4 linked regions of the Caenorhabditis elegans genome follow. The protein of the gene in region 1 purifies or fractionates together with the protein of each later gene. This does not show direct contact. Each region holds a gene or a part of one and is shown on either strand. Other genes may lie near its edges. The genes, in order: K10G4.3, rep-1, taco-1 and dgn-1.

Region 1 (4,897 bases):
TAAATGTTTGAAGTCTTGTTTGATTTTGTTTCGACTGAGGAAACTGATAACAGAGCAACTACCATATTTCGAAATATTTTGGTTTAAAACTTGTTGGTTAGACTGCTATCATCATTAGTTTTATACAATTCAATTTATCCTCGCAGTCCGCTAAAACATCCTTTTTGCATTAAACTCAAATCATTTGCTTCATAAGGTAAATTTCAAAATTTTCGTTTTGAAGTAGAGTCCTTTAGTTTTTTGCTTCAAATTATCAAATGTGGGTCGCAATGTCCGAATATAAATGTTAAAAAATTATAGAACGCTCATAAATTTTTAATTATTTTTTTTTATTTTGCAACAAAAAAAATTAGAAATGACTGAAATTTTCGACTTATTTTAAATTGCAGCGCAAACGTGTATAACCTTTCGTTTTTGCGTTTTCTGACAAAATTCATTAGTTTCTTTTTCTGATTTTTCCTTAAAAAATTGGTTGTCTAACGAAAATGCCTCTTCTACGCACTTCTACACTGTTTACCTTTTATATTTTATTACTTTTAACATCATAATGTGACATCATAATGTGAAATTTTCGTTTTGAAGTAGAGTCCTTTAGTTTTTTGCTTCAAATTATCAAATGTGGGTCGCAATGTCCGAATATAAATGTTAAAAAATTATAGAACGCTCATAAATTTTTAATTATTTTTTTTTATTTTGCAACAAAAAAAATTAGAAATGACTGAAATTTTCGACTTATTTTAAATTGCAGCGCAAACGTGTATAACCTTTCGTTTTTGCGTTTTCTGACAAAATTCATTAGTTTCTTTTTCTGATTTTTCCTTAAAAAATTGGTTGTCTAACGAAAATGCCTCTTCTACGCACTTCTACACTGTTTACCTTTTATATTTTATTACTTTTAACATCATAATGTGACATCATAATGTGAAATTTTCGTTTTGAAGTAGAGTCCTTTAGTTTTTTGCTTCAAATTATCAAATGTGGGTCGCAATGTCCGAATATAAATGTTAAAAAATTATAGAACGCTCATAAATTTTTAATTATTTTTTTTTATTTTGCAACAAAAAAAATTAGAAATGACTGAAATTTTCGACTTATTTTAAATTGCAGCGCAAACGTGTATAACCTTTCGTTTTTGCGTTTTCTGACAAAATTCATTAGTTTCTTTTTCTGATTTTTCCTTAAAAAATTGGTTGTCTAACGAAAATGCCTCTTCTACGCACTTCTACACTGTTTACCTTTTATATTTTATTACTTTTAACATCATAATGTGACATCATAATGTGAAATTTTCGTTTTGAAGTAGAGTCCTTTAGTTTTTTGCTTCAAATTATCAAATGTGGGTCGCAATGTCCGAATATAAATGTTAAAAAATTATAGAACGCTCATAAATTTTTAATTATTTTTTTTTATTTTGCAACAAAAAAAATTAGAAATGACTGAAATTTTCGACTTATTTTAAATTGCAGCGCAAACGTGTATAACCTTTCGTTTTTGCGTTTTCTGACAAAATTCATTAGTTTCTTTTTCTGATTTTTCCTTAAAAAATTGGTTGTCTAACGAAAATGCCTCTTCTACGCACTTCTACACTGTTTACCTTTTATATTTTATTACTTTTAACATCATAATGTGAAATTTTCGTTTTGAAGTAGAGTCCTTTAGTTTTTTGCTTCAAATTATCAAATGTGGGTCGCAATGTCCGAATATAAATGTTAAAAAATTATAGAACGCTCATAAATTTTTAATTATTTTTTTTTATTTTGCAACAAAAAAAATTAGAAATGACTGAAATTTTCGACTTATTTTAAATTGCAGCGCAAACGTGTATAACCTTTCGTTTTTGCGTTTTCTGACAAAATTCATTAGTTTCTTTTTCTGATTTTTCCTTAAAAAATTGGTTGTCTAACGAAAATGCCTCTTCTACGCACTTCTACACTGTTTACCTTTTATATTTTATTACTTTTAACATCATAATGTGACATCATAATGTGAAATTTTCGTTTTGAAGTAGAGTCCTTTAGTTTTTTGCTTCAAATTATCAAATGTGGGTCGCAATGTCCGAATATAAATGTTAAAAAATTATAGAACGCTCATAAATTTTTAATTATTTTTTTTTATTTTGCAACAAAAAAAATTAGAAATGACTGAAATTTTCGACTTATTTTAAATTGCAGCGCAAACGTGTATAACCTTTCGTTTTTGCGTTTTCTGACAAAATTCATTAGTTTCTTTTTCTGATTTTTCCTTAAAAAATTGGTTGTCTAACGAAAATGCCTCTTCTACGCACTTCTACACTGTTTACCTTTTATATTTTATTACTTTTAACATCATAATGTGACATCATAATGTGAAATTTTCGTTTTGAAGTAGAGTCCTTTAGTTTTTTGCTTCAAATTATCAAATGTGGGTCGCAATGTCCGAATATAAATGTTAAAAAATTATAGAACGCTCATAAATTTTTAATTATTTTTTTTTATTTTGCAACAAAAAAAATTAGAAATGACTGAAATTTTCGACTTATTTTAAATTGCAGCGCAAACGTGTATAACCTTTCGTTTTTGCGTTTTCTGACAAAATTCATTAGTTTCTTTTTCTGATTTTTCCCAGCGTGCTTTTTTTCAATGATATCGATAATTACCTTATTGCGAAATGAAGTTTTTGAAATTTTTTGATATTTCAGATGCATTTACGCGACTTGGATATCTTGATAAAATTAACAAAGCATTGGATGACTGAGGAACTAACCGATCATATGAGCTACAACAGAGCCATCGAATGGGATAAGCTCATTATTAAACTTGAAAAAGTTCCAAAAAAACTGTCTCTTAATTCTGTAAGTTGTTTTCTTACGATTTGCTCGTTATAAAGATTTAACTTTTCTTTCAGAAAAAGTATTTAGCAATCCTTGTTGATGAATTCTGCATGGATACGCCAAGATACGGAATTAGCCCCTGGTTTGCTCACTACATCCTATGCTATTGCAAACATAATCTGGACGACGCTCGCGAAATATTAATCGCCAATAAGTGGAAATTGGAAAATATTGAAGAATCTTATGTGAGTTTTTATAATTTTATTATGTGCGAAAGGAAAAATGGGTTGAATACTGGATCGGTTTTACTGTTAGACCTACCAATCGGCGCTCAAAAAAAAAAACGAAAAAAACATATTTTTTTTTGAACGCACCGTTTTTATTTTAAAAATACTCCCTTTCGCATTTGAAACAGACGTTTCTCCACTTTTGATTCTTGCAATTTTCGCAAAATTAATGTGATTTTTTCAGGAAAAAATTTCCGAATTCCAAAGACAACTAGACTTGAATCGTAACAACCAAAACAATGACAAAATTTATGAAGCCATTAAAAAAGAAAAAGAAAAGATCAGGAAGAATGTCTATGAAAGAAATGAACAGTTGCGAGACTTTAAGAACATTCCATACGGATTCCAGCCAACCTTAGAACTTCACAACCTTATGCAGGACCAGATTGAGGATTTCATCGAAGAATATCTTGGACAGTACTTGGAAAAACTTGGAAAACTTGGACTTGGAAAAAAATACAAAGGTTAGTTGCATTTATAAACATATGAAATAATTTCAATATTAAAAATTAAAGTCTGGTCGTAAATAAATCTAAAAAGGGTGCGCAATGAGTAATAGTTTCTGTTAAAAGATTAAGAATTTCCTGGGTTTGAAGTTTTAGAAATTCAAGCTTACTAAACGTTTCTAATTTCGTACTTTCTTCTTATTCTTAATGTCTTAAGAGTTTTAATTTTAGTTTTTGATTCGTTGAAATAACCTTTTAGTAAAAAAATATAAGTAAACTTTAGACAGCTCTGATAGAACATTTTATTGACCAAAAGCGACCTAGGTCTCACGATGCTCAAAACGCAAAAAAAAAAACGAAACGTGTCTCAAGAATCAATTATTTGTCGCGTAAAGCCTTTTGATTATGTAATACTTACAGAAATTACAACCATAGTTGGCAAAGGCAGTAGCTCACTAAACCAAGTTCCAGTAATAAAGGAAAAAGTGATGGCGATCTATGGAAGAAGAGTCCGCGAACACTCCAGCAACGGAGGCATACTTTTCTTCACAATTTAATACTTAAAAATCACTTTCAACCTTTAAATATTCATTGCTAAATCAAAACTTAACGTTTCTCCAATTTTACCGACTCCAATTTTACCATAACGATAAAAAAAATTAAAATTTTGAACCAATAATAATTAAACAGTCGAAATTAAACAACAAAAAAAACAAAATTTCGAAACATCCCCTAACTTGTATAAGCCCCACGTTCCCAGTCGCCTTATTTTCATTTTATTGTACGTCGCCTCTTCTCGTAAACTCTTTCTTTGTTTCACTTCCCCACCCAAGTTGAACCGCTGAGGATTAAATCTGAGCTAGTTTAGTTATTGCCTATTCAAATTTGATTGATCAATGCAATTTTTGTTCCCGTTGTTTAGTTGTATTGTTAAATATTAATTTTTATGTTTTTAATTTAAATTACTTTGTTTTTATTCACCATCATAATTTTATCGCCCACTCTTTAAGTTTTCAGCACTTTTTAGGTTTCTTCTTTTTTATATTTCCTGGCGAGTTCCCAGTGGGGATATCCGTATTTATTGTCAAAGTTTCCGTCTACAAGCACTTTTAAATTCTCAATTCGCTTGTCACCTCATTTCGTGTTGCACGAAAAAAGGTTGGCGTATTCCTTGTTTCCTTTGCTGGAACGTTTATCGTGTACTTGCTTGAAAATTTTGTCAATACTTTTCATATTCTTCTCTATGTTATATTTGATTTTGTTTCTACTTTTTTTTGCTTTGCATTAGCACTTTTGTGTGCAACTTCTCTTTATATTTTAAGATTTTGTCCAAATAAACATTATTTAAATTGAAA
Region 2 (9,620 bases), on another chromosome or scaffold:
CTACATAGACTACAAACTATGGACAAACGGAATAAGCGCTTTATATATAGTAAATTATATATATTAGGTCTCCAAATAAGTTCCGGGTCAAAATTGATAACTTTGTTCGCTGTGTATCAATTTTTATGAAACTTTGGGAATTTATGTTATCAACCATGATCTTTCATTTGACAATAGTCACAAAATTTTTTGACCACCCCAAGTGTCCTAACTCGGAGCCAATTTTTTCAGGCATTTTTCTGATCTCGGTTCTTTTCAGTTTTCAATTGAGCTTTGTGTGCGGATTTTGCTTTGTTTAGAATACATTATTAGAAAACAACAAAAGTTTGGAAAAAAATCCGCCCAAAAAATTTTTTTTTGTCGAAAATTCTTGATTTTTCCTACAAAAATGATGTAACCAAGTGTAAACTATTTTTACACATATAAATCATTTGAGTTAAAAATTTGAATCTCAAGAAATATTCAAAAAACTAAAAAATTATCCGAAAAAATTGTATTTTCTACTATCATTTTAGTGTATCGAACTAAGTTGATATGTTTTGTATGTCGAAAAATAGTTTACACTTGGTTACATCATTTTTGTAGGAAAAATCTAGAATTTTCGACAAAAATTATTTTGAACATTTTTTGACGACCAACCAAAAAAATTTTTTTTTGGGCGGATTTTTTTCCAAACTTCTGTTGTTTTCTAATAATCTAAACAAAGCAAAATCCGCACACAAAGCTCAATTGAAAACTGAAAAGAAGCGAGATCAGAAAAATGCCTGAAAAAATTGGCTCCGCGTTAGGACACTTGGGGTGGTCAAAAACTTTCGTGACTATTGTCAAGTGAAAGATCATGGTTGATAACGTAAATTCCCAAAGTTTCATAAAAATCGATACGCAGCGAACAAAGTTATGATTTTTGACCCGGAACTTATTTGGAGACCTAATATATATATACCAGCCGTTCGAACGCGCTGAAGCGCGTGCTCCGACTGGCGTACTCAAAATTGAAATCAAATTCTAAAATTTCTAAGCCTTTCTCTGTAGATGGAACGTTTTTTTTCTGTTTTCCGGAAGTTTTCGAGCAACATAAATATTATATAGCTGAGTGTTTACAACTAAAAAAAAACGTTTTTCAAATCATATAAAACTTTTTTCCGGTCCTTTCCGAGAGTTTTTGGCGAGCGTTTCTGGAAATTATAACAATTTTGATCTTTTTTTTTCAAATTATTGAAACTTCAGAATATTCTAGGAGTATCAAAACTTGAAGAAGTTTTTTTTTTTGAACTTTCCGAAAGGTTCTAGAAATTTGCAGGTTCCTGAAATTTTCCACGAAATTGAACACTTCAGAATTTTCCCGATTTCTCTAGAAAGTTTTGGAACATTCCAGAATTTTCTCGAATTTATTTTTCTCAGAAAATTTGAATTTCCAGTCAACGAAGAGCCTTTGTCACAAAAACGACATATTATTAAAATTCACAGAATTTCCTAAATATTCCCTTCCTAAACATTTTCTCGTGACCCATGTGCTTCTACTCGTATTGGTGGCATAAAAACTGTATTTATTCACAGTTTCAGTCTTAAATTGGCCGAAAATGTGAATAAATACCGTATTTCTGCCAACAATTTGACAATAGAGCACATTTGTCACTCGGAGATGCGGAAGCTATGCCCAAATTTTCATTTTTCCCCCGAAAACTTGTATAATTTTTCAGGTAACCCGTGTACCGTACTCCCACGTGGCAGCCTGTCAAAGTTATATGCTATTCTACGAACGTGTCAAACCTCATCGACTCTACGAAAGGATGTAATTTCTGGATTTTTATTGATTTTTTTGAGAAAATTTTTTTTTTGGAAATTTCGCAATTTTTTTCCCAAACAATTGATTTATTTTGTTGCTAGATTCCCCTTATTTTTTGTTGTAAATTTTAACATTTTAATGACACAACGTGTAGCATTTCCTTTAAAGTTTATTTTTTGTGCAAAAATTCAGAAAATTTGAAAAAAATATTATAACTCTTCCCCCCGTCCCGTGCCATTTTTGTTAAGTTTTGTGTGTGTGTGTGAAAATGAAGATTTTTCGTGTTTTTTCCACTTTTTTTAGTTAATTTTTAAAGGTTTTCAGCCGTAAATCAAATATTTTAATAGAAAAAAAAATTTTTTTTGGAAAATTTTCAAAAAAATTTTTTTTTTTTTTGGTTTTTTTCAATTTTTCAAATTTAAGCATGACATCTCTTATTTTCCAAAAATTCAAACTATTTCCAGCTTTTCCAGCTCTAAAAAATGGACGAAAAGTTGCCAGAATCAGTGGACGTAGTGGTGCTGGGCACCGGACTACCTGAAGCCATTCTGGCTTCAGCTTGTGCTCGAGCTGGCTTATCTGTGCTTCATTTAGATAGGTAATAGGCGAACTAACATTTAAAAAAAGTTTAAAAAAATGAATGAATGAAATTGAAAAAAAAAAAATTTTTGCGAAAAAAAAATTATTTTCGGCTAAATTTTTTTTTTAATCATAACTTTTCCTCAAAAATACAGCAAAATTCGAATTCTCCACGTCGCCAGCTTCAATTTGATCCCCAAATTGCCTATATTCCGCTGGTTTTGAAGTTTTCGGGTCCCGCCACGAAAACTCCTCGGGTTACTGTAGTTTTTCGCGGCGGGACCCAAAATAAACGGATTCTGGGCATGATGGGGGTCATTTTGAAGCTGAGAACCTGATGAATTCAAATATCACATTAATTTTCGGGAAAAATCAGAAAGTAAAAATTTTCTGACCAAGTTTGTGGAAAATTTTTCGGAAAACGTCAAAAGTTTCCAATTTTCGAAAAATGTCAGCCAACTGATATCATATTCGAGTTCTCCACGTCACTAGCTTTAAAATAACCCCCCACCATGTCCATATTCCATTGATTTTGATTTTTTTGGGTCCCGTCACGGGTTACTGTAGCACCGATTTCAGCTGTGTCGATTGTCAAAATACACCGAACCTAGGCGTGTTGGGGCTCATTTGAAAGCTAATAACGTTGAGAAATCAGATTAATTGTTCGTTTTCGGAAATATCGAAAATTAAACAAATTTTAAGAAAAAAAAATATATATTTGCCAAAACATTTTTCAATTTTCAGAAATTTAAAAAATCAGAATTCTTTCTGAAATCTTCACGTTACCAGCTTTCAAATGACCCCCATCATGCCCATATTCCGCCTACTTTGAGAATTTTGGGTCCCGCCACGCGGGTTACTGTAGCACCGATTTCAGCTGTGTCGGTTGTCAAAATGCACGGAACCTAGGCGTGTTGGGGGTCATTTGAAAGCTGATAACGTCTGGAATTCGAATTTCATACTCGATTTCTTGAAAAATTCGAAATAAAAAATATTTTTGCAGAAATGAGTACTACGGCGGTGATTGGTCATCATTCACAATGTCGATGGTTCATGAAGTGACTGAAAATCAGGTTTTTATTGATTTTCAGCCAGAAAAACCCCAAAATTTCCGAATTTTCAGGTAAAAAAGCTGGATTCCTCGGAGATTTCCAAGTTATCAGAGCTTTTGACTGAAAATGAGCAGCTCATTGAGCTCGGCAATCGAGAAATCGTGGAAAACATTGAAATGACGTGGATTCCACGTGGAAAAGACGAGGAAAAGCCGATGAAAACGCAACTGGAAGAGGCTTCACAAATGCGGCGATTTTCCATCGATTTAGTGCCGAAAATTCTACTTTCCAAGGGAGCAATGGTACAAAATTGCAAAATTACACCTAAATTGGAGAACTTGATGTTTTGCCCTAATAGTCATCAAAAAATCAATTTTTGCCAAAAAAAAAATTTTTTTTGAAACTTTTTTTCTGAAAAAAAAGAAAAATTTTTCTAAAAATTCAATTTCCTCATTTAAAACTCTGAAATTCGAATTCTCTACGCCACCAGCTGTCTAATGACACCCAACATGCCCAGGTTCCGACCGCTTTGAAAATTTTGGGTCTCGCCACGCGGGTTACTGTAGCATCGATTTCAGCTGTGTCGAGACTGCCAAAATTCAAAATCAACGGACCACGGACATGTTGGGGGTCATTTGAAAGCTGATAAAGTGGAGAATTCGAATTATTTGCTAGTTTTCTGAAATATCGAAAATTTAAAAAAATTGAAAAATATTTTCCAAAAAATTGTCAATTTTCAGAATATTCAAAAATTAACATTTTTTCCGAGATCTTCACATCACCAGCTTCAAAATGACCCCCATCATGCCCTGGTTCCATGCAATTTGATTTTTTTGGGTCTCGCCACGCGGGTTACTGTAGCACCGGCTTCAGCTGTGTCAAAACTTCCAAAAGTCAAAATCAACGGAGCCGGGGCATGTTGGGGGTCATTCGAAAGCTGAGAGCGTCGAAAAATTCGAATTTCCGCATTATTTTCAGATATTGAAAAGTTTGACAAAAATTTATGGGAAAATTTTGAAAATCTTGAAAAAAATTTGGAAAAAAAAAACGATTTTCTTCCAATTTTTTGAATTTTTTCAGGTTCAAACACTCTGTGACTCCCAAGTATCCCATTATGCCGAGTTTAAGCTTGTCAACCGGCAGCTATGCCCAACAGAGACCCCAGAAGCCGGAATTACCCTAAATCCGGTGCCATGTAGCAAAGGAGAGATTTTTCAGAGCAATGCTTTGTCGTAAGGGATTTTTTTAGGCTGAAAATCGATAAAATATCGATTTTCTTTGCCAAAAAAATCGATTCGCAATGATAAATCTCCAAAAATTCTTCCAGAATCCTGGAAAAGCGAGCTCTTATGAAATTCATCACATTCTGCACACAATGGAGCACAAAAGACACGGAAGAAGGCAGAAAACTGCTCGCCGAGCACGCCGACCGCCCGTTTTCAGAGTTTTTGGAGCAAATGGGCGTTGGAAAGACCCTGCAGAGCTTTATTATTAATACGATCGGCATTTTACAGCAAAGACCCACTGCGATGACGGTGAATATGCGGAAATTACTGTTTTTTAGAAAAAAATCTGAATTTCTAAAAAAATTGAAAATGAAAAAAAAATCCAAAATTTTTTTTTTTGCACGAAATTTACTTCAATTTTTTTCAAAATATTATTGAAAAATTTGAATTCTCGCCACTCTCAGCTTCAAAATGACCCCCAACATGCCCGGGGTCCGTTGATTTTGAGTTTTGGCAGTCTCGACACAGCTGAAACCGGTGCTACAGTACCCCGCGTGGCGAGACCCGAATTTTCAAAATCATCGGAACCCGGGCAGTATGGGGGTCTTTAGAAAGATGATGATGTGGAGGATTCGAGTTTTGAGTCGATTTGAAAAGAAATTTATAATTGAAAAAAATTTGAGCAAAAAATTATTTTTTTTTTCGAAAAAATGTTGATTTTGTCTATTTTGCTAAAAATTTTTGAAAAATTCAAATCTCTAACGCTTTCAGCTTTACAATGACCCCCATCATGCCCATTTTCCGTGCAGTTTGCGCTCCGACACAGCTGAAACCGGTGCTACAGTACCCCTCGTGGCGGGACCCAAAATTTTCAAAATCGATGGATCATGGGCATGATGGGTGTCATTTGGAAGCTGGTGATGTGGAGAATTCGAATTTCGAGTTGATTTTCATGTCAAATTTGAAATTGAAAAAAATTTTGAGAAAAACAAATTTTCAAAAAAAAAAAAAAATTTTTTTCAAAATTTAAAATTTTTCCAAATTCCAGGGAATGTTGGCATCATGCCAGTTCATGGATTCTGTCGGCCATTTCGGTCCATCGCCATTCCTCTTCCCACTCTACGGATGTGGAGAGCTCTCACAGTGCTTTTGCCGGCTGGCAGCAGTCTTTGGGAGCTTATATTGTCTGGGACGGCCTGTACAGGCTATCGTGAAAAAAGATGGAAAGTTAGTGAAGAGAATAAGCGAAAAATCAATAGTTTCTGCGAAATTTGACCTAATTTTCAAGTCAAATTCCCAGCAAAACTAGTTTTATACAATATTCCGTGACTCATGTGTTTCTACCCAGATTGATGGCATAAAAACTGTTTTTATTCACATTTTCAGCCTTAAATTGTGCTGAAAATGTGAATAAATACCGTATTTCTGCCAACAATTTGACAATAGAGCACATTTGTCACTCGGAGATGCGGAAGCTATGCCCAAATTTTCAATTTGTCGGAAAACCAATTTTCTCAAAAATTTCCAGAATTACGGCTGTAATTGCCAATGGAGATCGTGTAAATTGTCGCTACATCGTGATGTCCCCGAGATTTGTCCCCGAAACTGTTCCAGCTAGTAGTACGCTGAAAATCGAGAGAATCGTCTATGCGACGGATAAATCGATTAAAGAAGCCGAGAAAGAACAGGTTCCGGAGCATTTTTTGGAGTTTTCCACCAGGAAATTCGATTTTCCCGCAAAATTCCACTCTAGAATTCAATTTCCCCGGGCTTCTAGCTCAATGTTACAATTTTTGGGGTTACTGTAGCGCCAAAAGTACGTTGACCTCGGTGCTTGCGTACCTGAGACCGAATTTTACGAAATTGAGCTTAAATTGGCTGAAAATCATGTTCCGGGGTGAATTGGCAACGGGAAATTCGAATTTCGCATTGAAAACCACCTTGGTCAACTGGTTTTCGAGAAAAATTTAATTTTACTCGAGAAACCAGTGCTCCTAGTTGATTTTCAATGCAAAATTCGAATTCCCCGTTGCCAATTTACCCCGTAACTGAAATTTAAGCCAATTTGGGTTCAATTTCGTAAAATTCGGTGTCAGGTACGCAAACACCACGGGGGCATCGCGTACTTTTGGCGCTACAGTAACCCCGAAAATTTCAAAATTGAGCTAGAAGCCTGGGAAAAAATAATTCTAGAGTGAAATTTTGCGGGGATTTCGAATTTCGTATTAAAAATCCGAAAAAATTTTCAGCTAACCCTCCTCAATCTGGCATCTCTCCGGCCCGACGCCGCAGTCTCACGGCTTGTTGAAGTGGGCTTTGAAGCCTGTACGGCTCCGAAAGGACACTGTAAGCCCCCACGTTTTTTCCTAGAAAAATAAAGATTTTTTTTTTGCAGTTCTGGTGCATGCAACGGGTACCCAAGAAGGAGAAACAAGTGTCAAGACTATTGCAGAGAAGATTTTTGAAAAAAATGGTGATTTTCGCGGAATTTTTAGGGGGAAATTTTGAATTTCCACTACCGAAAACCTATTTTTCGCTTAAAATTTGAGAAACTTTCATGGAAAAGTCATTTCCAAGTGAATTTTCCCTAATTTTAGGTGAAAAATTCGAATTCTCCGCTATAAAAAACCTATATATCCCCACGGGGAATCGAACCCTGGACCTTTTGCTCCAAAGGCGAGCCGCTTAGCCACTGCGCCACGCGTTGCAGCTAACCAGTGATGCATGTTGCACCCCGTGGCGCAGTGGCTAACAGGCTTGACTTCGGAGCAAATGGTCCCGGGGTTCGAGTCCCCGCAGTGGTGTATAGGTTTTTCATAGCGAACATTTCGAATTTTTAACTTAAAATTCGCAAAAATTGAGTTACAACCTAGTTTCCTGAAATTTTCGCTCGAAAATGATACAAAATCCATTTTTTTGAACTATTAATATATGTTAAGCTTCAAAGTTCTAAAATAGAGACTCCAAGAGTTGAAATCTCAGCAAGGATTCAGTGAAATTTTGAGAAAAATTATTTCCAAGTGAATTTTCCCCAATTTTAAGTGAAAAATTCGAATTCTCCGCTATAAAAAACCTATACACCCCCACGGAGAATCGAACCCCGGACCTTTTGCTCCAAAGGCGAGCCGCTTAGCCACTGCGCCACGCGTTGCATCACGCGCCGCTGGTTCGGCGCACCGGTGGCGCAGTGGCTAACAGGCTTGACTTCGGAGCAAAAGGTCCGGGGTTCGAGTCCCCGTGGGAGTATTTAGGTTTTTCAGGGCGGAGATTTCGAATTTTTCACTTAAAATTCGCGAAAATTGGCTTGGAACCCGGTTTTTCTTTAATATTTTTGAGTTTTTCGATTTTTCCTAGAAAAATCGATATTTTTTCTGCATTTCAGAAGTGGAACCCTACTGGAAGATGAGCTTCACCGCGAATTCCATGAAATTCGACACCGCCGGAGCCGAAAATGTCGTCGTCGCGCCGCCAGTTGATGCGAATTTACACTATGCTAGTGTGGTGGAGGAGGTTAGGGCGAAAGAACGATGAAAATTGGATTTTTGAGCTGAAATTGAATTAGAAATTCAAATTAGAAAAAAAAATTTCGAAAAAATATAAAAATTAAAAAAAAAAAATTTTTTTGAAAAATTTTTCAGAAAATTTTTTTTTTCGAAAATTTTTTTGAATTCAATTTTTATCGATTTTTCTGAATTTTAAACACCTGCTATATATCCATTTTTTCCAGTGCCGCCAACTATTCTGCACAACTTGGCCCGAGCTCGACTTTTTGCCAAGAGCCATGAAAAAAGAGGAGGAAGAAGAGGAAGAGCCGGAAACTGAAGAAATTGCAGAAAATTAATTGAAAATTCGAGTTTTCCATGTAAAATTACCCCCAGACTCCCGTTTTTTTTGGCGATATTTCACTTTTTTGTGCATTTTTTGTAAATATTTGAAGAATATTTAACCATTTTTCATTGATTTTATCGATTTTTTCTGGGTTTCCAGCCTATTTTTTTACTTACTTTTTGAACATTTTTAATCATTTCAGCCCAAAACCCCCTCATTTTAAGCAAAAATGGACGAAGAAGTAGTGTTAGAATTGGCGTCCCAACAAGCCATCAAGTTTTTGCTCGCCGAGCCAAAATTTGCGGAAAAATGGCAGATGGAGATAGCGAAAGGACTGAGGGAGGACTTAAAGGTGAGATTTCTACAAAAAATTTAAGAAAAAACTTCGAAACCCCGAGGTTTTTACGAAAAAATCCATTTCTAGGCAGATTTCCATAGATTTTAAGTAAAAATTCGAAATCTCCGCTATAAAAAACATAAATACCTCCACGGGGACTCGAACCCGGGACCTTTTGCTCCAAAGGCAAGCCGCTTAGCCACTGCGCCACCGGTTTCCCAGCCAGCGGCGCGTGCTGCACCGGTGGCGCAGTGGCTAAGAGGTTTGCCTTTGGAGCAAAAGGTCGGGGGTTCGAGTCCCCGTGGGGGTATTTAGATTTCCTATAGCGGAGATTTCGAATTATTCACTAAAAATTAAGGAAAATCTACGGGGAAATGGGTTTTTTTGGTTAATTTCTCATATTTTAATAGATTTTTGGTAAAAAATTCGAAATCTCCGCTATAAAAAACCTATATACCACTGCGGGGACTCGAACCCCCGACCTTTTGCTCCGAAGGCAAACCTCTTAGCCACTGCGCCACCGGTGCAGCACGCGCCGCTGGCTGGGAAACCGGTGGCGCAGTGGCTAAGAGGTTTGCCTTTGGAGCAAAAGGTCGGGGTTCGAGTCCCCGTGGGGGTATTTTGGTTTTTTATAGCGGAGATTTCGAATTTTTCACTTAAAATTAAGAAAAATATGCAGGGAAACTGAATTTTTCGGGAAAATCTAGCTTTTCAGATTTTTTTTTCAATTTTTTAAATAATTTTTTTGCAGAACCCCTCCACGTCAACTACCTCCTCAAATCCCGCTGTAACATCAATAGAGTCCACGTGCT
Region 3 (9,710 bases), on another chromosome or scaffold:
ATGCAAATTGCCAAAAATGAAAATTTCTGGCAAATCGGCAAATTGCCGGAATCAAAAATTTCTGGCAAATCGGCAAGTTGCCGGAATTAGAACTTTCCGGCAAATCGACAAATTGGCGGAATTGAAAATTTCGGGCAAATCGGAAAATTGCCGGAATTAGAACTTTCCGGCAAATCGACAAATTGCCGGAATTGAAAATTTCCGGCAAATCGGCAAATTGCCGGAATTCAAAATTTCCGACAAATCGGCATATTGCCTGAATTGAAAATTTCCGGCGAATTGGTAACTTGCCGGAATTGACAATTTCTGGCAAATCGGCAAATTGGTGAAATTGAAAATTTCCGGCAAATCGACAAATTGGCGGAATTGAAAATTTCGGGCAAATCGGAAAATTGCCGGAATTAAAACTTTCCGGCAAATCGACAAATTGGCGGAATTTTAAACTTCCGGCAAATCGGCAAATTGGCGGAATTGAAAATTTCCGGCAAATCGGCAAATTGGCGGAATTGAAAATTTCGGGCAAATCGGAAAATTGCCGGAATTAGAACTTTCCGGCAAATCGACAAATTGCCGGAATTGAAAATTTCCGGCAAATCGGCAAATTGCGGAGATTCAAAATTTCCGACAAATCGGCATATTGCCTGAATTGAAAATTTCCGGCGAATTGGTAACTTGCCGGAATTGACAATTTCTGGCAAATCGGCAAATTGGTGAAATTGAAAATTTCCGGCAAATCGACAAATTGGCGGAATTGAAAATTTCGGGCAAATCGGAAAATTGCCGGAATTAAAACTTTCCGGCAAATCGACAAATTGGCGGAATTTTAAACTTCCGGCAAATCTGCAAATTGCCGGAATCGAAAATTGCTGGCAAATCGGTAATTTGCCGAAAATGAAAATTTCTGGTAAATCAGCAATTTGCCGAAAACTAAAATATCTGGCAAATCGGCGAATTTTCCGAAAATGAACATTTCCGTCAAATCGGCAAGTTGCCGAATATCAAAACTTCTGGCAAATCAGCATTTTGCAGGGAATTAAATTATCCGGCAAATCGGTAATTACCGGAATCGAAAATTGCTGGCAAATCTGCAAATTGCCGGAATCGAAAATTTCCGACAAATCGGCAAATTTGGCGAAAATGAAAATTTCCGGCAAATATGCAAATTGCCAAAAATGAAAATTTCTGGCAAATCGGCAAATTGCCGGAATCAAAAATTTCTGGCAAATCGGCAAGTTGCCGGAATCGAAAATCGTCAATTCTTGCCGATTTTCCGTAAAATAAAATTGCCGTCCACCGCTGAAAAGAGTTACAGTACCATTTTTTGGGAAAAATTTGGTATTATTGCAAAACCTGGCAATTATCGATTTTCGGCCGGATATTTTTGAATTCAAATTTTATTTAAAAAAAATTATTTTCAGCCCAAAAAAGCTGACCTTTTGGGATTTTTCCAAAAATTTCGTATTTTCGATGGAATTTTTCAGAGTTTTCAGCTCAAAAATGCCAGAATTTGAAATTTGCTGTCAGATTTTCTAGAAAGTTTTTCTTTTTTCAAAAAGTTTGGTGCAAAAAATCAAATTTTTCTAAAGAATTACCCCAAAAATCCCAAAAAAAAGTATAAAATTACAGAAAACCAGCAAAAATCGGAAAAATTCAATTGTCAAAATACGATATTCGAGCAATTCGGAAGCTGTATGGACAATAAAATATGGACATTTCAGTTTTTTTTTTTTAATTATAGCTTTATACTAACAAAAAAAACAGGTGGAATTCAATTTTAAAAAATCAATAAAAACTCAATAAAACAACAAGAAATGCGGGAATCCTATCTATTGAACTGATAAATAAAATAAAATAAAAGATTTAAAAAATGGAATTCTGATGGGAAAACGACTAAAAATAGAGAAAAAACAATGGAAATTTTCCGCTTTTCCGGCTTTTTTCAATGAAAAATTGAAAAAAATCGGCTACTCGTCTGGTGTGATGTTGTCGAAAATTTGGCGTACTTGTTCGTCCTCCTGAAATAAAAAATACAAATTTTCTCAAATATTTTCGAAATATTCTGGATTTCTTGAAAATTTCTGATATACTGTTGAAGTTTTTTGAAATTTTATGGAATTTTTTGTAATTTCTTGGAATTTATTGAAAATTTCTCATTTTTGAATTTTTTGATATTTTTGAAATTTTCTGGAATTTTTAAACATTTTCTGGAATGAAAAAAATTCGAATTTTCTTGAAATTTTTTAGATTTTTTACGGAAATTTTCTGGAATTTTTTAGAAATTTTTTCTGAACTTCTTGAAAAAAAAAATTTCTAGAATTTTTTGAAATTTCATGGAATTTTTTGATATTTTTGAAATTTTCTGGAATTTTTAAACATTTTCTGGAATGAAAAAAATTCGAATTTTCTTGAAATTTTTTAGATTTTTTACGGAAATTTTCTGGAATTTTTTAGAAATTTTTTCTGAACTTCTTGAAAAAAAAAATTTCTAGAATTTTTTGAAATTTCATGGAATTTTTTGATATTTTTTGGAATTTTTGCGAAAATTAGCGGATTTTTCAGAAAATTTCTGGAATTTCTTGAGATTTCCTATATTTTTTGGAAAAATTTCTGATTCTTTTTAGAAATTTTTTCTGGAATTGAAAAAACATTGTCGAACATATTTTTGAATGTTTGAACTTTTCAGAATTTCAGACATTTTTTAGGAATGTTCTGAAATTTCAGAACATTCAGAAAAAAATTGAAAATGTATTGAAAAAATGTCAAAAATTGGAAAATTTCAAAAAATTACCATAGAATTCCAAAAATCTTTCGAAAAATTTTGGAATTTCCAGAATTTTTCTAAATTTTCTGTATTTTTATTAATTTTTCTGGAATTTTTGAAAAAGTTTTGAAATTGTCTGGAACTTTTTTTTTTATTTTCAAACATTTTTTTTAGGAATTTCCTGGAATTTGTTACAATTTTCTCAAATTTCTTGAAAATATATGGAATTTTTAAAGAATTTTTTTGGAAAATTCCTGAATTTTCTGATTAAAAAAAACATTTTCTGATGCATTTTAGAAATATCTGAAATTTTTTGAAATCTTTTTGGAATTTTTTGGAAAATTTCGAATTTGTTGAGATATTTTTTGAATTTTCTCATTTTTGACATTCTTTTCAACACATTTTCGAATTTTTTAGAAATTTTCTGCAATTTTTTGTAATTTTTTGGAATTTTTGAAATATTTTAGAATTTCTTGGATTTTTTAAAGAAATTTGTGGAATTTCTTGAAATTTCAAATTTTTTTAAAATTTCTGAATTCTTTGAAAATTTCCGGAATATTTTTTTGAATTTTCTGGAATAAAAAAATTGTCTAATATATTTTTTTAAGTTTTTAAATTTTCTGAATTTTTTAAAAAATTACGGAATTTTCTACAACTTTCTCTGCAATTTTTCTCGGTTTTTTCAATTTTTTTTTTGATTTTTTGTCCAAAAATCTTAGTTTTTTCTCGAGTTTTTCCCGGAATTTTTAGTTTTTCCAGTACCTGAAGCATTTCATACAACTTCTGAACCTTTGGCTCCTCAGCTTCAGGACAATCAATTGGATGAACAGGTCGGAATTCAATTTCCGACTGTAAAATCGAGAATCCACCCTTTCCGAGGCCGTTTTCAAGAGTTTGAAGTGATTTTGCATCACAAATTAGTTCGAATTTCTTCGTTGAGTCCTCTTCAATCAGTAAAACCTCTTCAGCATCGAATTCCAGACCGATTTCTTCCATCTGAAACACAAAAATCGATGAAAAATCCAAAATTTCACTAATTTTCGAGTTAAAAACCGATTTTCCTGGTGAAAATCACGCCGGGAGCTGTTTTAAAATAAATTTTACGTTCGAAAAATCAATTTTCAGTCGAAAAATCGTGTTTCTCGTTATTTTTCACCCCAGCTAGCCGATTTCTAGAGATTTTCTGTCATTTGTCGTAAAATATGATGCCTAATCGGTGTTTGCACGTCTAGAGCTACAGTAACCCAATAAACCTCAAAATTCAGCTAGAAACCCAAATTCTTCACTATTAAGTACGTTTCTACCTAGTTGGATAAAACATTTCAATTTTCTTAGATTTTCTGCAATTTGTCGTAAGATTCGGTGCCTGGTCAGTGTTTGCGTACTTCTAGAGCTACAGTAACCCAAAAAACCTCAAAATCACCGTTCGAAAAATCAATTTTCAGTCACAAATTTTGAGTTTTCAGTCTAAAACTGAGATTTTTCCGTTTTTTTAGTTCTTTTAAGCCGAAAACCTCCGATTTTTAGAAATTTTCTGCATTTTTCCGTGAGATTTGGTGTATTGTATTGGGGTACGGTAGTCGGTTTTGCGTACTTTTGACGGTACAGTAACCCGTTTCTGAACGAAAATTCTCAATTTCTACGTGAAAAACTGAATTTTTTTCATTCTTTGCCAATTTTTATTGAGAAAATCGCGCATTTTCAGCGAATTTGACCCAAAAATTAAGTTTTTAAAGATTTTTTCGAGAAAAATCTAGTTTCAGCTGAAAAACTGCGCATTCTTATAGAAAAAATCGTGTTTCTTGTCATTTTTCACTCTGGAAACCTCGTTTTGCGAGATTTTCTGTCATTTGTCGTAAAATATGATGCCTAGTCGGTGTTTGCGTGCTTCTAGAGCTACAGTAACCCGGATAATTTCGAAATTTAGCTAGAACTCAGATAGAAATTATCTTAGGCAGAACGTAGTCGATTAAAGTTAAAATTCAAATAAATTCTGCAATTTGTCGTAAGATTCGGTGCCTTATCGGTGTTTGCGTACTTCTGGAGCTACAGTAACCCAATAAACCTCAAAATTCAGCAAAAACCTCAGACAAAAACGGTTTCAGGTTGAATTAAGCCGCGTAAGTCAAAATTACAAAAAAATTCGCAATTTGTCGTAAGATTAGGCGCCTAGTCGGTGTTTGCGTATTTCTGGCGCTACAGTAACCCGAAAAATCTCAAAATTGAGCTAGAACTCCGATAAAAAGGAATCCAGGCAGAAATTTGCCGATTAAAATTGAAATTCATATAAATTCTGCAATTTGTCGTATCCAAGCCGGTGTTTGCGTATTTCTGACGCTACAGTAACCCGGGTATTTCAAATTGAGCTGAAATATCAGATAAAAATGCTACCAGGAAGGAGAAAAAAGAGCATTATTCAAAATTTGAGCAAACTCCGCAATTTGTCGTAAGAATCAGTGCCCAATCGGTGTTTGCGTACTTCTAGAGCTACAGTAACCCAAGAAACCTCAAAATTAAGCTAAAACCTTAGATAAAAATGCTTTCAGGTAAGAATTAGCCGATTAAAATTAAAATTCAGATAAATTCTGCAATTTCTCGTAAGATTCTGTGCCTAATCGGTGTTTGCGTACTTTCGGGGCTACCGTAACCCGGACTTTTTTAAAATTGAGCTAGAAACCCAAATTCTTCACTATTAAGTACGTTTCTACCTAGTTGGATAAAACATTTCAATTTTCTTAGATTTTCTGCAATTTGTCGTAAGATTCGGTGCCTGGTTAGTGTTTACGTACTTCTAGAGCTACAGTAACGCAAAAAACCTCAAAATTGACCTAGAAACTCCAAAAAAAACGCCGTTAAGCTCCAAATTTTCAGGAAAAAACAGAATTTCAGCATAAAATCGCCCGTACTTCTTCAATATTCAGAATTTTTCCGCCTTTTTTCGTGTCAACATGCACAACACCCTTCTCCTCGAACCAACTACGAACACCACCATCAGCTGCCAACCGGAAACCGCCCAACTTGTTGAAATACTTCCGTAAATCGTTTTCAAACGCTTTTTTGTTCGAAGTTTCGGCGGTTACGATAAGGAATATTCCAGATGGTCCAATGATATCGAACGAGTATTCTACTTCGGGCTTGTCCTGCAAAAATTCGGGGGATTTTTGGAGTTTTTGTGGAAAAATAGACAAAATTTTGCGGTTTTTAGGTTAAAAATCAAGTTTTTTCACTCTTTTTTGCGAAAAAAATTGCATTTTCTGCGATTTTTCATCATTTTTCCTCATTTTTTCACTATTATACCTTCATTTTTTGCAAAAAGTTCTTCAACGTGTCCAGTGGAAGTCCTTGTGCTCTGAATTCGGACTCCAAATCAGCGAGTTCTCGATTGAGCTTCATGTCGAACCCGCCACGAGATACTGCTCCACGGACCTGGAAAAAAAAATCGCTTTTTCTAGGAATTTCTGAGCAAAATTTCAATTTTTCGTATTTAAACTCCATTTTTTCGTACTTTTTACGCCGAAAACCTAATTTTTTGAAATTTTCGGCTTTTTTTCGTAAGGTGTGGTGTATTGGGTACGGTAGTCTGTGTTTGCGTACTCTTGAGGCTACAGTAACCCAAATTTATGGATTTTCTGCAATTTGTCGTAACGTGTGGTGTACAGGGTTACGGTAGTCCGTGTTTGCGTACTTTTGTTGCTACAGTAACCCAAAATCTTGTATTTTTGAGAAATCTGATGGGAATTGTCAATTTTTCTGCAAAAAAATCGTAAAATCTTGGTGTTTGCGTACTTTTGTGGCTACAGTAACCTAAATTTTTCGGATTTTCTGTTTTTTTCCGTAAGATCTGGTGTACTGGGTTACGGTAGTCCGTGTTTGCGTACATTCGGGTCTACAGTAACCCAATTATTTGGATTTTCTGCATTTTTCCGTGAGATCTGGTGTATTGGGGTACGGCAGTCAGTGTTCGTGTACTTTTGGTGCTACCGTACTAAAAATCGCTGGATATTCATGGTTTTTAATCGAAAATTCGCTTTTCTCGGTGTTTGCGTACTTTTGGTCCTACAGTAACCCGAAAACCTACCTTTCTGAGTAAAAAGTTGGTTGCCTTCGACCGAATCAAATCATTTTTTCCCTTCACCGCCTTAATATTCTGCCATTTCGAGTGCCCCTTCTGCTGAAAAACCGTCAAATGCACAGCTCTCGCCGGCTGAAATTGTTGGAGCTTCTGCAATTTCTGAAGCTTCTGGAGCTGGAGACCCGTTGTGGTGAGCCGACGGAGCGGGGAGAACATCTGCAAAAAATTGGGGGAATTTTGAAATTTCAAGGGAAAAATCCCGGAAAAATCGATATTTTCAGGTAAAAACTACCATTTTAAACCGAAAATTGGCTGAAAATCGGAAAAAAAATTGAAAAACCGGTGATTTTTTTCAAAAGGAGAACGAAAATTATGAGATACAATTGAGAACATTTTCAAAAAAAAATTAATAAATTAATGGAGGAAAACTGGTAAAATATGGTAAAATACGAGGGAAAATTAATAAAAAATCGGGGAAAAATTGAGATTTTCCATGGAAAAAATGAGAAAAAAAAAGAGCATTTTCCAGTGAAAAATCTAGAAAATTAGCAATTTTAAATTTTAAATTAATTTTAAATTAAGAAATTCAATTTTACGGTCAAAATTCAGAAATTTCGCTGAAAATTCCACATTTCAGTGTTTGCGTACTTTTGGGGCTACAGTAACCCAAAAATATTCGAATTTTTGAGAAAATTCACTGAAAAACGGACATTGTAGTGTTTGCGTAATTTTGTGGCTACAGTAACCCAAATAATTCGAAAATTTTGAGAAATTTCACTGAAAATTGCGCATTTCAGTGTTTGCGTACTTTTGGGGCTACAGTAACCCTAAAATATTCGAATTTTTGAGAAATTTCACTGAAAAACGCCCATAACAGTGTTTGCGTACTCTTGGAGCTACAGTAACCCGAAAATATTCGGATTTTTGAGAAATTTCACTGAAAAACGCCCATAACAGTGTTTGCGTACTCTTGGAGCTACAGTAACCCAAAAAACTTAAATTTTTGCGAAAATTTACTGAAGAACGGGAATTTTAGTGTTTACGTACTATTGGGGCTACAGTAACCCAAAAATTTGATTTTTTTTTGAGAAATTTCACTGAAAAACGCCCATAACAGTGTTTGCATACTCTTGGAGCTACAGTAACCCGAAAATATTCGGATTTTTGAGAAATTTCACTGAAAAACGCCCATAACAGTGTTTGCGTACTCTTGGAGCTACAGTAACCCAAAAAACTTAAATTTTTGCGAAAATTTACTGAAGAACGGGAATTTTAGTGTTTACGTACTATTGGGGCTACAGTAACCCAAAAATTTGATTTTTTTTGAGAAATTTCACTGAAAATTGGCTTAAATATCAATTTTTAGCGATTTTTTTTGTTTTTCACTCATTTTTCACGGTTTTTTCTCAAATTTTTACAAATTTTCCATGAAAAATAGCTCAAAAATCAAAAAAAAAATCTAATCAACATATTCAACAACACGTTCAAATCTCTTCATAATCTGCGAATCGTGAACCATTTCCTTATCCAACAACGAAACACCCAGCTGATGCTCCTTTTCGAATGGCTGAGCCATTAGTGTGAGCCAACGCCTGGCAACTTGTGCCGCTTCGTCAATGCTCAGATTGGTACAAGCTGGCTCCAGGTATTCCTGCATCCAGCGGGGCAATTTTCCACGTTTGTCGTTTCGGGAGAATCTCTGAAGAAAATTACAAGTTTTGAGGGGAAACATGGAAAATTTGGGCAGAGGTTCCCCGGGAAAGTGGTCAAATGTGCTCTCTGTGAGCAATTTCGGGTGAAAATTCCAAATTTTTGCATATTTTTATGCTAAAATTTGAAATTTCCACACAAAAATCACCGACATAACACATTTGCCACGGAAAATATTTTTCAAATTCTCTAGAAAAATGGGCGGAGCATCACAAGCCACGCCCATTATATGGTCACTTTTCAAAGCTTCAAAATTTTGAATTTTGAAAATAATTTCGCATTTTTAAGCGAAAATTTTCAATTTTGGGGACGAAAAACTATATTTTTTGCGATTTTTGGCAGATTTCTAATAAAAATTTCAGAAAATTGGGCAGCTGGTGAAATTCTTCGTATTTCTTCAATTTTCCGCTATTTTTTTCAGCCAATTTCAGATTTTTTCAGAGTATCTCTACAATTCAAATCATTTTCCGAATTTTCCGTCCAAAAAAAAAATGAAAATTTGGGCAGAGGTTCCCCGGGAAAGTGGTCAAATGTGCTCCCGGTGAGCAATTTCGGGTGAAAATTCCAAATTTTTGCATATTTTAATGCTAAAATTTGATATTTCCGCACAAAAATCGCCGACATAGCACATTTGCCACATGGTACATCAGAATTTCAGCGCATTTCAAGCTGAAAAAAATCAGTTTGAAACTATGAACATTAGTGAACTTTCGATATGTTTTTAACAAAAATCGTGGAATTTTTCTACCAAAATCCAAAAATTTTTTTGAATATTTTTTGCAGCTAAAATGGAAAAAAAACTTGCTTAGCTTTTCAGGTTTTTTAGTGAATTTTGTGCAAATTATTTCAAAGTGTTCTGATTTTCCAGTGAAAAAAATCAATATTTAGCTTTTTTTTCAAATTCTCATGCCACGCCCACAAAATGGACACATTTTTTGTTGAAAAATTGCCAAAAAATTTTCAAACAACTTTTTCTGGTTAAATTTCGTGATTTTTTAATCGAGAATTTTCTGATTTTTCTGATTTTTTTTCGGGAAATCGATAAATCTCTTTATTTTATACCTTATCAGCAAATACCATCAATCCGTAATCAGTTTTCGAACGGAGAGCTCGTCCCATACATTGAGCAGTGTGTCGCATTGCGTCAAATGTCAGAAAATCATTTTC
Region 4 (6,908 bases), on another chromosome or scaffold:
AATTGTAGTGCAAATATTGCGTTTTTTGTTGGATGACCCTTATTAACCGTTCACACATCTTTCATTGAAGAAAGGAGAGTGATAAAGTAATATAGGGAGAAGAGAAGAAACATTCGAATATAAAATTGAAAACCATGTCGGTAGAAGAAGAACAACTTTAAAATTCATATACAACGGCAAAGTTTTTTCTAAAACACTTCTAAAAAACTAGACATTAAACAAAAAATTTTGTTTTTTTTTAATTCTGGGTAGATGAATGCGTTTTTCAAGTCAAGTCATAAATAGTATTTATTTATGAAGATAAAATATTTTTATTTTTCAAATTGTTGAATTTTGAGCAGGAGTAAAACTAATTTTCTAAATATTATTGTAACTTCAGTTTTAAATTACATTTTCTCAAGTATCAATTTTTCCTATAATAAAAAGAAAGGGTATAGAACTCTACTAGCCATTTGGATAAAATATGGAATACAATATAATTATAGTAATTAGAACGATGTATACGAGCATAATTAGGCGAAAGGCGGCCCATACAACTCGCAAAATATAGTTCTTACTGTTCTCCGAAGATGCGCGCCGTCGACAAGGTAATACCGACTGAGGCTGTTCAGATATGCCTAACAATGCCCTCACGACATTTTCGAGATCGCATAATTGTCGTCGAGAGCGGTAATCCTGGGAATCTGTGGGACATACGGAAGGTAAAAAGATTGAAGACGTGAGACGAGATGGTGACACAAGAAAGAGAAAAATGAGAGCAGGTGTACATTTGACTGACACTAGTGCTCCGTTGACAACCTGTGACTGAGGATTACCTTATTTCACAAAAAGAACACACAAAAACCCAGTGAGAAATGATCGTCTCAGTTCATTGTTCTGACACCTTTCCGTGCGCGAAATTGGTTGGATTAACGTCCAGTGAGGAACGTATTGAAGATGAAACGAACGTGCTAATTAAATGAACGATGAGGATGATGATGGGTGCCGTTTGCCATCTATTAGGCATGGATTACCTGGCTTAACGTTCTCGAATTGCTTGAATCGACAGCCACTGTGCAAAGGGTAATTGTATACACTTCTAACACGGGAACACCGGAGACAAAACGTACTGCTAAAACTGAGACTAACACGCCTATTGTTCTGGTTTCGTACTTCGACTGCTAGTAGTCAGCGCGTTCGTCTCATTCTCATTGTCCGGATCCCCATGTTGACAGGAACCAAAAGTATTAGACTTTTGTTTTTTAATAAAAAAATGAAACGGTAAATCATGAATCATTCCTCAAATATTTTTCAGCCACCAGCTTCCATTAAGTCAATTTTGACAATTTTTCCAAAAAAATATTTGGTGTAAGAGCAAAAAAAAAGAAAGTGATATCACAAGAGATTAATTGAAAAATTCCTGAAGCACACTCCTGTGAACAAGCTAAAGTTTTTTGGTCGCTCACAATGAAGCGGACATAAATCATTATCAGACTAGAGGATTAAAAGTTTGTAATGTTGCGGTAAAATCTTTAAACTATATAAGCATAATCAGAGAAGTGCAAATTTAGTTAATTCAAAATGTTAGATCATAAATTCAGTTATTCAATGTGACCGTATTCATATTAATTTGGAGCCGATTTTCTCATAAGCTGTTGAAAATATCTATTCACCACCGGGCAGATCGTAAACCATCTGATTGAATACAGATTTCCTTATGTAATCTATCCGTATTGTGCAATACTTTTGACGCGACAACGAGGGCAAGAAATGGCACTGTGTGCAGCTGCGCGCGTTGAAGCAGATGCTTGTAACGACATAAAAGAGCTCCTGCGTTGAAGAGATGGCACACAAATGGGGGCACGATTCCATCACATATCATCAAATTGAGAAGAGTCAAGGAATGGACAAGGACGTTTGGACAGAAATCAGATTTGGATAGCGTAGATTTCGAGTAAAAAACCCCGCGTCAAAAAAGTTTCCTCAGCAAAAAAGAGAAAGTTGTGCGTATGGGTAGGGTCAAGCACGAGGCAAGCCCTGTTGACCAAACATATAAAGTGAGAGGCGAAAAATGTGGGGAAGGACGGAGATGGTCCTATTTGGTCGGCTCAACCTCATAAAGTTGCGTCACCGTACCTGTGGCCAGGTGTGTGCAGGATGGAGCAAACGAGGAGGCAACGATTGGAAGATAAGCCTAATGACTGGGTGTTCAGACGTACAATGCGGGTCCGTTTGGAACAATTACAATTTTTCTTGGTCAATTCAAGACGGATGGTGATATTTATAAGGATGAAAGAAGAACGGATGACGAGAGCTAATCAGAAATGGACATGCGATACGTTACGGCTACGAAGAGAGAGGAGGAGGAAAATGGCATGCAACATTTGAGCAGTCTAATAAAGCCGAACACAGATGAAGAACGAAGCGGTGGCCAATATTCAATCTGCATAATAAATAAGCGATCCGTACAAACAAAGACGTTTCCTTCGTGGTCTTCCGTCCTTCCGACACTCCCTACGGACCATGAACCGACCGACATAAGAAGGCCAGCTCCCACGGGAGCTTTTGGTATGGTGTCTCGAATGAATTTTGCATATAAATAGAAGAAACCGACCGAAACATATTGAAAACGGAGATTCGATTTATTTTCCATCTTATCTTTTATTGAGTCAGTTCAGAGGGGTTTCAATTGTCACTTTGACACCTTATTAGCAACCGAACAAAGAGTGCCGGATTTGCTAAGTGAGTGTAAAAACAAGATTATAAAAACAGTGGGCCTTCTTATTCTAGTCTTTTGAATGTTTTGATTGACGTAAGATCTTGGGCCACTTTGTTTCTTTTGAGAATTGCGAAGACGAACATTGTTGAGTAAAATTTAGTAGGGACGAAATTTTTTGAGAATAACAAAACATTTTATGTGCGCCAAAACTTTTTTCGATTTTTTGGTTCTTCAAAAAACTGAAAAACGGAAATTTTCGCTTTTGAGAAAACTGCAAAAACAAATTCTGAAAACACTCCAAAATCGGTATTTTTATACAGAATGCAATATTTTTATTACTGATGACGCCCTATTTCATACAAACAACATACATAAATTGCACTTTTTCAAACTGGACCCTAATTTTTTTTCGATTTTTTGGGTTTTTCGGCTTTTTGACCCACACCGCAAAATTGAAAAACCGAAAAACGTGAAGAACGGAAAACAACATTTTTTGTTAAGATTTAGGTTATTTAGAGAAAAAACTCGGTTTTTCGAAAAAAAAAAACTAGCAGACAATTCATATAATACCTAAAAACCAGGATGTTTTCGAGTTAAGTGAATGTTTCAAAATAAGGACGTCACTCTGAAGTCGTACGAAAATTTTTTTTGAAACACCTATCTCTGTACACATATGAGTAGTCACAACATTTGTGGCTTCGTACACCTTTGAAGTGTTTTTGAATGCACAAACATGACGCCGCTTTTTTTGGATTTGTGCCAAGAAGCAGAATAAGTTTTTCAGGCAAATACAAAAGAAAACATCTCGTTTTCTGTGTACAAAACTACATATATCAGGAAACGAGATTTAGTAAAACATTTTATAAGACTAAAAGAATTGTTTAGTTACATAGGAAAATTTTTTTAATGCCTCGAAAAACTTCCGGGCACGCGTTCGAAACTGGCATTAAAAAAAGTCTCACCTCTATGTGTTTATCAATAAGCCGGGACTAAAAAATGGGTGCGCCAAATTGAAATTTCGTTTTCGATTCTAATCACAAGTTCGGTTCAATACACGTTGTCGTTCTGAAAATCGAAAGTAACTTTTGCAACATATACGTTCAAGACATGAAATGGAGCGGAAAACTTCAAAAAGGGGTGTCCTTTTGAAACTTGGCAAAAAGCGATTTGTATCAGTTGACAGACTAATTTACGATAATGTACATATTGAAGAAACTTTCAAATTGGAACTTCTGAGATCTGATGAATATAGGTTTTTCAAAAAAGAATAAAAAAGCTAGCAATGTGTATAGTTTTGATGTGAAAATAAATATCGTAAGAGAAAAAGAAACACTGTCAGTTGCATACCTCATAAATATAATCAAGGAGGTATTGAAATTGCCGAAAAAACGGTTATCAGAGGAAAGAGATAGCAAGTACGAAATGAAGAATGCAACCTGGAAAATTCGCTTTCTCTTTTGTTGCATCCCTCCTTGTTGATAACACACTATGAATGTGGTTTTGACAAGAAAAACATACGCACACAGTTTGAAGCATTTTTTTTTCTTGTCACCAACCATTCGGATGAATTATACCCGAAAATGTGTGTACACTCGTTGGAGGATAGGGGAAAAAGAGAAAATGGTCAAGGTAGGTAAACAGAAAGCTTTCATAAACGTTTTTCTTACCATTTTTTTGCCTTTTCTTGGGCATAAAAGTTAGAGTTACTACAATGAATGTCAGTGTGGTTTGTACTATTTTCTGCATACGCAGAGGGAAATCAAAAATATCAATAGAGCGAAGAAAAGCGGTGAGTTTCAAAAAGGCTCTTCCCATGAAATATAACCCCCATTGTAATTAAAATTCTGAAAAAAAAACCAGAGTGCAATGAGTTTTTGAATGCGCCGTCTATATGCGTGGCAAGGGAATACAGCTATTTTCATTTTATCATATGTATATTTTCATATCTATATGAAGTTTGCAAATATATAAAACAAATTTTTTACTAATTTCGAAGAGCACATTTAAAAAAGTTGAAATTTAAACGAAGATATTAGATTGCAAATATCAATCTGTAGTTTTGTTTGATTTTGAAGTTATTCAAAACATAAAACGGTAATGGATTTTCAAAAGAAATAAAATAGAGTCTAACAAAACAGAAAATTAGGATTTCCAACAATTTTTGCTTTTGATAAGACACGCTAGATGTTGTTGATCATAAAGCCACGGTAATCATTGTCCTGGCCAAATGTAGAACTAATTAAATTTTGCGACAAAGTCCCTGTTGTCATAAAAATGTGATTTTTCCAGTCCTACGTTATTTAGAATTTAACACGATCCGTCCTGCTATTCAAGGAAAAATAAAATCAGGGCGTTTCTTGTTAGTGGTTTCTCGGTATGTGTGTCCAATACACTAATTACTCGATGGTGATTGAAATCAAATATCAAGACAGGAAAGAGGACACGAGTAACTGATAAAGGTCAAATGCACATTAAACTTAACGCACAAAAAGTTAGGCAATGTCGTAGAAAGTGGTGTGTGAGGAGATAGAATGGTGAGTCAGGAACGGTAGAGGGTTTTCTATTCGAAAGAATAAAAATCTGTTTTCTAGTAAAATTGAAAAGAGTGAGAGATTGAGAGAAAAATAATGGAATAAAATCGGAATGGTGTTTACATCATTTCCATATTAAAATTTTGAATTGGAAATTTAAAATACAAACTACTGGTACATATAGGAATATGAGATACTTTGAATTTTCAAATTTACAGTTTAGATATAACTGCATAATAATACCTTTTGAAAAAGATTCTTATACTTCTTCAAGGTCATCAATTAACAGAAACAAAACAAAAAAAAAGATTGCGTGGTTCAAAGATATAGTTTCATATTTCTTGCAATTGCATTCAAAAAGCAAGCAAAATGACCTTCCGAGTGAAGCGAGTAAAAAACGAGGACCAAGCCAGTTTGACCAAATGTCTCACTATTATATGATCCGATTCGTAGACTGCAACGATGAGAATAATAATTGTAGAGTATCAAATGAATAGTGGGGCAATTTTGAAAGAAGAAAAGTGGAATGAGAGGAAAATAGCCAATGGTCACAATGGCTAAAAACGACCACATGAGGCTCACGTCCCTGTATTGACCACTAATGAAGATAATTTAAGTGAAACGTTTAAATAATATGATTTGGTCGGTTCACAATAATAAAAAATTAATTTCTCGTTGTATTTAGTTAACTAATGGAATTACGCTCATAATTTTTCCGATCCTGCGGAACTTCAGATAAATAATTTTTTGTCATATTATGACATGTGCATGCAGTACAGAATAAAAATGCAAGATTATTACAATTTGGCAATTTGTTTCGAATATTTACTTCACTGGAGAAGTATGTTGTTCAATTACTACTAATTATCAAAATTAAAACATTCTTAGGAAACGAAAAATTGACTACCAAAAATAATAATGAACTAAGAAAATTTTTGAAAACAATGAGCTATATCCATATCCATCGGAGCCAATGTTGACACTACAACCTGTCGAGAAAACAAAGTGAAAAGTGGATATGCATGCAGGAGGTGTCCGGTTTCGAAACCGATTGAATTATCCTAATGAATTTGGCAGCGAAATACAATAACGTAAAGAAGCAAAAGTGATGGAACAGAACGTAGTGTTTTGCTCCGGCCGGCATTGACATGGTCAGTGCACGCTAAGCCAGATGACAAATAAGAATGTCATGGTTACGGCGGGTTACGAACCCGGGTCACAGTTGAAATGTTTCTCAACAAGCGGAGACGTTTTATGGATGTCGCATTCTTCTGGATTCACACTTTTGAATTCTTAGAAAATTGAAAGTTTAGAAGAAGTATCGAAAGTAAAACGCAACCTTCTTTTGTTGATACTTTCAAATAAACAGAAGAAGATTTGAGATTTATGAGTAGGAACAAACGTGGAAAAGGTAGGGTGGCGGTAAACACGAATTTATTCCCATTTCTGTATGTTCCACCGTACTAGTAGCCTCCGCATTTTTTACGATATAATATGGTGTTGGCGGTTTCCCAAATCGCTACAAACTGCCATAATGTCTAGCGGAGGCCGTTGAAAAGAAGGCCCCCGTTTGCAAAAAAGCACTGACAGTAAAACAGGAATTTGTGAGAAACCGCGTGGGGAGAAGGAAAATGTAGGAAAAACATCAGAGAAGCGTATTAAATTTCTTGGGAATATTA

What was found.
Region 2: the proteins of K10G4.3 (region 1) and rep-1 fractionate together in Caenorhabditis elegans (co-fractionation; one large-scale study listed by BioGRID). This does not show direct contact.
Region 3: the proteins of K10G4.3 (region 1) and taco-1 fractionate together in Caenorhabditis elegans (co-fractionation; one large-scale study listed by BioGRID). This does not show direct contact.
Region 4: the proteins of K10G4.3 (region 1) and dgn-1 fractionate together in Caenorhabditis elegans (co-fractionation; one large-scale study listed by BioGRID). This does not show direct contact.

What each region holds. Positions count from the first base shown.
Region 1 is NC_003283.11:17,262,734-17,267,630, reverse strand, and holds K10G4.3 (uncharacterized protein), read left to right. Parts: upstream 1-2,675; 5' UTR 2,676-2,677; coding exon 2,678-2,830; intron 2,831-2,883; coding exon 2,884-3,054; intron 3,055-3,280; coding exon 3,281-3,565; downstream 3,566-4,897.
Region 2 is NC_003281.10:1,568,056-1,577,675, forward strand, and holds rep-1 (Rab proteins geranylgeranyltransferase component A 1), read left to right. Parts: upstream 1-2,250; 5' UTR 2,251-2,268; coding exon 2,269-2,384; intron 2,385-3,368; coding exon 3,369-3,438; intron 3,439-3,488; coding exon 3,489-3,719; intron 3,720-4,497; coding exon 4,498-4,649; intron 4,650-4,744; coding exon 4,745-4,952; intron 4,953-5,691; coding exon 5,692-5,870; intron 5,871-6,171; coding exon 6,172-6,331; intron 6,332-6,892; coding exon 6,893-6,989; intron 6,990-7,038; coding exon 7,039-7,116; intron 7,117-7,277; exon of another isoform or gene 7,278-7,350; intron 7,351-7,374; exon of another isoform or gene 7,375-7,447; intron 7,448-7,719; exon of another isoform or gene 7,720-7,795; intron 7,796-7,816; exon of another isoform or gene 7,817-7,889; intron 7,890-8,025; coding exon 8,026-8,153; intron 8,154-8,370; coding exon 8,371-8,484; 3' UTR 8,485-8,583; downstream 8,584-9,620. Other genes in the region: Y67D2.2 (Ubiquitin carboxyl-terminal hydrolase), read left to right, coding at 1,701-1,796; Y22D7AL.7 (Talin_middle domain-containing protein), read left to right, coding at 8,701-8,823, 9,560-9,620. UniProt on the Caenorhabditis elegans protein: Substrate-binding subunit of the Rab geranylgeranyltransferase (GGTase) complex. Binds unprenylated Rab proteins and presents the substrate peptide to the catalytic component B and remains bound to it after the geranylgeranyl transfer reaction.
Region 3 is NC_003281.10:281,456-291,165, reverse strand, and holds taco-1 (Transcriptional regulatory protein), read right to left. Parts: upstream 7,050-9,710; coding exon 6,840-7,049; intron 6,188-6,839; coding exon 6,059-6,187; intron 5,902-6,058; coding exon 5,668-5,901; intron 3,758-5,667; coding exon 3,524-3,757; intron 2,016-3,523; coding exon 1,965-2,015; 3' UTR 1,703-1,964; downstream 1-1,702. Other genes in the region: Y50D7A.13 (Peptidase metallopeptidase domain-containing protein), read left to right, coding at 1,627-1,702; xpd-1 (General transcription and DNA repair factor IIH helicase subunit XPD), read right to left, coding at 8,293-8,532, 9,606-9,710.
Region 4 is NC_003284.9:10,925,236-10,932,143, forward strand, and holds the start of dgn-1 (Dystroglycan 1), read right to left. Parts: upstream 3,764-6,908; 5' UTR 3,661-3,763; intron 2,585-3,660; exon of another isoform or gene 2,380-2,584; intron 1-2,379.